Callithrix jacchus: one gene and its partner. The protein of the gene in region 1 purifies or fractionates together with the protein of each later gene. This does not show direct contact. Links are inferred from orthologs where the notes say so. Each region holds a gene or a part of one and is shown on either strand. Other genes may lie near its edges. The genes, in order: PIDD1 and CASP2.

Region 1 (2,610 bases):
ATGATCTAAGATATAATTGTACAGATAGAGAGAAATAACTGGGTAGTAAGATACTCTTCAAGCACTAATTGTTCCGACTCTAAATTGATACGTGATTATATATAAAGGATTATATAAAGGAAATGACTGAGCAGTAACACCATAAACTGAGATATTCTCCAGGCACTAATCATGCTGGGGACCTGCTGAGCTCTTCTTCCTCGGCGCACAGATCCGGGGTTACCCACAGTCAGTGCCCCCAGCTTCCTCAGCCCCCTCCCCGTCTTTACAGCCTCCCTCACCCCCCGCCCTCCTAGGTACTGGCTCTGGTACACCACCAAGAACTGCGTGGGAGGCCTGGCTCGGAAGGCCTGGGAGCGGCTGCGGCTGCACCGTGTGAACCTCATCGCCCTGCAGCGGCGCCGGGACCCTGAGCAGGTCCTGCTGCAGTGCCTGCCCCGAAACAAGGTGGGGACATGGGCTCGGGGGCTCAGGGCGGTGGCCGGAGGGCTGGGGTGCCGGGTTTTGGCTACCGAGCTACACAGCGTGCCTGCAGGTGGACGCCACCCTTCGGCGGCTGCTGGAGCGCTACCGTGGCCCGGAGCCCTCCGACACGGTGGAGATGTTCGAGGGCGAGGAGTTCTTTGCGGCCTTCGAGCGAGGCATTGACGTGGATGCTGGTAGGGCCTCCCCGTCCTGGAGAGGGAGCCCTGCTGTCCTCCCTGTGTCCCCTGCTCAGCCCCGTCCCACCACCCCATCCCCTAGACCGCCCTGACTGTGTGGAGGGCAGAATCTGCTTTGTCTTCTACTCACACCTGAAGAATGTGAAGGAGGTGTACGTGACCACCACCCTGGATCGGGAGGCTCAGGCTGTGCGGGGCCAGGTGGGCAAGGGGGTGGGCCCCCCAGGCTGCCTGGGCACAGGGCCGAGCTCTGAACCCCATTCAATGCCCCCTCAGGTGTCCTTCTACCGTGGCGCAGTGCCCGTGCAGGTGCCCGAGGAGGCGGAGGCTGCCCGGCAGAGGAAGGGTGCAGACGCCCTGTGGATGGCCACTCTGCCCATCAAGCTACCGGTGGGACTGAGGGACAGTGGAGGGGTGGGGGCAGGACTGAGGCCCGGGGCGGAGCCCAGGGGCACGTGGTGGAGTCTGGGGCAGAGCCCAGGGTTTTCTGCTCTTTCTCCTTCCAACAGAGGCTTCGGGGGTCCGAAGGGCCACGGCGAGGGGCTGGCCTCTCCTTGGCGCCCCTGAACCTGGGAGATGCTGAGACCGGCTTTCTGACGCAGAGCAACCTCCTGAGCGTGGCTGGGCGCTTGGGTCCGGACTGGCCGGCCGTGGCCCTGCACCTGGGCGTGTCCTACCGAGAGCTGCAGCGCATCCGGCACGAGTTCCGGTGAGGCTTCCACTGGCTGTCTGGAGGGCCCCCCTGATGCTGCCTGGCGGGCCTGTTTCTTCCAGAGGAGGTGGGGGAAGGGCAAACACCAGGCTGGAAAGGAACCATCTGGCCAAGGTTGGCCCAGGCAGCAGGGAACTCCCCGACACTCTGAGGCAGAGCATGGTGGGGGAACTGGGCAGGTGGGCAGGACTCCCTCTGTCCCCGTCCTCTGCCCACAGGGATGATCTGGACGGGCAGATCCGTCACATGCTCTTCTCCTGGGCTGAGCGTCAGGCTGGGCACCCGGGAGCTGTGGGGCACCTGGTGCAGGCCCTGGAGCAGAGTGACCGGCAGGACCTGGCTGAAGAGGTCCGGGCGGTCTTGGAGCTTGGCCGCCGCAAGTACCAGGACAGCATCCAGCGCACGGGCTTGGCCCCCAAGGACCCCGAGGTGCCTGGCTCGTCGGCCCCACAGCCCTCAGAGCCTGCCCAGGCCTAGGCCCCACAGACTTCCGGCTGGCCTGGACTTTTCCCAGAGGATGGGCAGAGCCCCCACCTTCAGGCCTCTCCAATGTTTGGGGTCGGGGTTCTCCGTGCACATCAAACCTGCACTGTTTGATTTGCTGTTTCAGAGCTTGATTTGTTGGATGGAGAAAGCACTGGAGGGCAGGGAGCGGGTTGGCAGGGTCATCAGAGGCCCAGCCCTGCTAGGAGGGAGCCCTGCCTGAACACATGCCCCACAGCCTGGTCCTGTCCCCTTCCACTGTGCCTGGGGCCTCCTGTGGGTCCTGATCTTCCTGGGAGAGAGGACCCGTGCTACAAGGTAGCCCAAATGGGCTACTTCGTTTTTCTTTTGAGACAGAGCCTGTCTCCCAGGCTGGAGTGCAGTGGCCTGATCTCGGCACACTGCAACCCCTGCCTCCCAGGTTCAAGCGATTCTCCTGCTTCAGCCTCCCGAGTACCTTAGGCTAGGGGCACTTGCCAGCATGCCTGGCTAAGTTTTGTGTTTTTAGTAGAGATGGGGGTTTACTATGTTGGCCAGGCCAGTCTCGAACTTCTGACCTCAAGTGATCTGCCCGCCTTGGCCTCCCCAAGTGCTGAGATTGCAGGCGCCTGGCTCCAGGTGGGCTGCTTTGGATACAAAGTCGCTTTTCGGCAGGGCGACTTGTGCTTCCACCTGCCCACTGGCCCTCTGCGCTGGCCCCGGCGTTTCCACGGAGCACCTGTTCTGCCCTGGAGACCATGCCTCCCCCAGGAC
Region 2 (3,817 bases), on another chromosome or scaffold:
GTAATGTCTACATTAAATTTGGACAGCTTCCAAACTCTCTCTAGGACAAAAACGGCTGGGGATATGAATGAAAGAAAAGATGACATCTGAGACATCTTAACTAATGAAATAACAGCAATGACTAAAGTGGCATCTACAAAAGCCAGAACTGAACCCAAATATGGGGGAGCTTATATGCCCTCTCCCCATAACCACACTGTGTTTATTACTTCACTTGTCAGGCTCTTCACCTGCAGCCAAAACATTCCTGGCAATAGGTCCAACCACAGCGGGCTCTACAGGCAGAGGGCTTCACAGAAGAGGAGCTGGCCTGGAGTCCCACACTCAAAGGCAGAGATGATGGGCACAGGAAACAAGTCTGGGAGATTCCCACATCCCTGAGGGGGAAAAACAGAAACCGTGCATCCTGAAGATCAAAGGCTCTATCACACCTCCTGTGGTCCAGTGGCTTCCACTTGGCGTGGACGATGGGGAGGCGGCATCATGTGGGAGGGTGTCCTGGGAACAGGTAGAGGTGACGGCACAGAGTGCTGCAGTACTCAGACATCTCCTTGCACCGGTGAAACTCTGTGCCAGGGGCGTAGCCTTCCCGATCCTTGATAAGTGCATTCACCTGGAGGGGTGGAAGCAATAGGCCCAAGTCTGAGAATCTCGGGCTTCATGAGGGCAGCATAATGGGAAGGGGAGACGGACTATGAAAGGGCATTCAAGGGCAGAGGAAAACAGAGCACTGTGGAGACGTATGGGGGTCACGGAGCCTGCAGACTCACCTTAACCAGCATGTCAGCCACGTGCATATCACAAGCTCGCTCAGAAAACACTTGAGCAAGGGCCTCGATGTACCAGGAACCTCGTTTGGTGTTCCGCATGGCAGCGGTCCCTGCAACCAAAAGAGCATTAGTCAGAGTGTGAGTGCCCTCACACAGCTGGACTTCCCAAACTAGACTCGGCCATGGCACCTGCACCCTCCCCAGTCAGAGCCCAGCATGAAGAATCCAAGTTTAGGAGGGTACACTCTTTTGGATTACTGGCATTCTTTGGAGATACTATAGGTTTGTTTCCAGACCAGCTCAAGAAAGTGAGTATGGCAATAAAGCAAGTCATACGAACTTTCAGGTCTCCCGGTGTGTATGAAAGTTATGGTTACTATTCTACAGTCTATTAAGTGTGCAACAGCATTATGTCTAAAAAAATGCATATGCTTTAATTAAAACACACTTTATTGCTGAAAAATGCTAACAGAGGCATGCCAACAGAAAAATGGTGCTGACAGACACTCGATAAAGGATTGCCACAAACCTTCAATTTGTAAAAAAAATGGCTGAGCATCCCAAATCCAAAAATCTGAAATGCTTCAAAATCTGAAACTTTCCAAGCACCAACATGATGCTCAAAGGAAGTGCTCACTGGAGCATTTTACATTTAGAATACTTGGATACGGGACACTCAACTAGTAAGTATAGTGCAAAAATTCCAAAATCAAAAAAACCAAAAAAATCCACAATCTGAAACACTTCTGGTCCCAACACTTCATATAAGGGATACTCAACCAGTATCTGCAAAGCACCACAAAGCAAAGTGCAATAAAACGAGGTATGACTCAACTCTCTTGGAACTCAAAGTACCTTTGAGGCAGGCATAGCCGCATATCATGTCTGAGCGCGTGGGCAGTCTCATCCTCAGCAACTCCTCTTTACCAGCATCACTCTCCTCGCACCCAGGGGATCCTGCATGGCTCTTTCCATCTTGTTGGTCAACCCCACGATCAGTCTCATCTGTAACAAAGGCAGACAGAATGGACAATGATGTTACTTCTTCCCATCTCTCCTGGGCCTGACACAGGCAAGCCCACGTTCCCTATAACCTTGATGGGGAAGAGCCATTTCCAGCTGTTGCCTCCAACCTATGGTTGATAAACTAAAAAAAAAAAAAAAAAAAAATCATTACTCTCCCAGCATGCATCTGTTACTCAGGGGATGCCTCGCACAGGCCAGGTACCACGCTCAAGCACATGCACATCTATGTGGCTAGAGCAGTTCCCATTCTGTGTAAAACAGGGAAAATGCCCAATCAAATACTCCTTGTAAATGGAATCATCTAAGTCCACAATTCACTTGTTCAATTAACAATATGCCTGGGAGTCATAGTGCTTTTTATTGCAGTACATAATAAAATATTGATACACTTAATTTTATTACATAAACAAAAAAAGTAATAACAAATATGGTTACTATAAGTATGCTGTATAAAAAAATCACAATTTCAAACAATGTATCAAAAAAATATGATCAGTTGTTTCCAAGGTGATTTTGGTATCTTTGAAGCACTCAGTACTTGTTTGTTAATTTCATAAGATAATTAGAGCAAGCATCCAAAACTTAAGAAAAAAACCTTTTTTTAAATTTTTGAGACAGTCTCGCTCTGTTGCCAGGCTGGAGTTCAGTGGCACAACCGCGGCTCACTGCAGCCTCCACCTCCTGAGTTCAAGCAATTCTCCTGCCTCAGCCTCCTAAGTAGCTGGGACTACAGCGGTGCACCACCAAACCCAGATAATTTTTGTGTTTTTAGTAGAGACGGGGTTTTACCATGTTGGCCAAAATGGTCTCCATCTCTTGAACTTGTGATCCACCTGCGTCAGTCTCCCAAAGTGCTGGGATGCCTGGCCAATAAAAAATTTTTTTAATCTTTTTTTTTTTTTTTTCCAACAGAGATGGGGTCCCACTACATTGACCAGGCTTGTCTCGAATGCCCAGCCTCAAGGGATCCTTCCGCCTCGGCCTCCCAAAGTGTTGGGATTATATGCATGAGCCACTGTGCTTGGCCGTAAGAAAATTTTAAAAGAGAAAAAACTTAAAATGGGGAGAATTAGACTATTTTCTCCCAGAAAATTGAAGAAGATCATCCTTATTCAATTTTAGCAGTAGTTTCTCAACATACCCTGAGCAGATGCCCATGTTCTTGATAAAGGCCTTATCTATCACAAGACAGATTCTTATTTTTGATGATGATGTTTTGTTTTGGGTGTGGGCAGGGGTGCTGTCAGGAGGGAAGAGAGATAGGGAGGACTTTCAGGTCAACACATCAAAAGTAAGAGTATGCTGTTTTATAGTACTCCCTGCTCCAGGCAACAACAAAGGAGACTAAGAAGGAAGGGAAGCTTCAAGAATTGTGGGGAAAAGGACCAAAACGCAGATTTAATGAAATTGTGTCAAGCAACTGCCAGGTGTTGGGCACTATTTGACTTTAATCCCTGGGGACAGAGTGAAGAGAAAACTCCTGCCGTCATAGGGCTTACATTCCAGTTTAGAAGCCAATTGGGGCAGGGGTTGGAGCTTTTTCTAGGTATTAATTATATTAACCAAATACAGCAGGAACACAGGAGAACTCAAGTTTTCTAAGATCAGTTGGCTACTGGTCATTCCTTGAAGGATTTAATTTCAGAGAAGTTGGAGAGACAGCAAAAGATTCAGATTACTCCAGAAAAGAGCAATTACTCCTTATCCAGATCCCATAGTGCATTAAATCCCTGGATATAGGAGGAGAAAATGACCACAACTAATAGTTAGTAATGACACCAAGTTAATAGTAATAGGCCAAGATAAAGAGAAAGGAGAATTCCTCTCTCACCTTTATATCACAGACCCATCAATCAATGCCATTAGTTCTTTTGTCACAATATCCTCCTATTTGTTTTTTACATGATACCCACAGTTTTTTAGGCAGATTAATTTTCACCCATTCATTCAACATTTGTAAGTGCTACCACGCGTCAGGCAGTGCTCTAGGCCTGGGGACAGAGCAGGAAAAGTTCAGCTCC

The links.
Region 2: the proteins of PIDD1 (region 1) and CASP2 purify together in Homo sapiens (affinity purification with western blotting; 5 studies listed by BioGRID and IntAct, with this or other methods). This does not show direct contact. The link is inferred for Callithrix jacchus from reciprocal best matches to the Homo sapiens genes PIDD1 and CASP2.

The regions. Positions count from the first base shown.
Region 1 is NC_133511.1:131,105,644-131,108,253, forward strand, and holds the end of PIDD1 (p53-induced death domain-containing protein 1), read left to right. Parts: intron 1-296; coding exon 297-447; intron 448-535; coding exon 536-659; intron 660-744; coding exon 745-1,052; coding exon of another isoform or gene 1,053-1,171; coding exon 1,172-1,371; exon of another isoform or gene 1,372-1,394; intron 1,395-1,592; coding exon 1,593-1,851; 3' UTR 1,852-1,971; downstream 1,972-2,610. UniProt on the Homo sapiens protein: Component of the DNA damage/stress response pathway that functions downstream of p53/TP53 and can either promote cell survival or apoptosis.
Region 2 is NC_133512.1:104,204,773-104,208,589, forward strand, and holds part of CASP2 (caspase-2), read right to left. Parts: intron 1,776-3,817; coding exon 1,626-1,775; intron 881-1,625; coding exon 771-880; intron 614-770; coding exon 482-613; 3' UTR 1-481. UniProt on the Homo sapiens protein: Is a regulator of the cascade of caspases responsible for apoptosis execution. Might function by either activating some proteins required for cell death or inactivating proteins necessary for cell survival.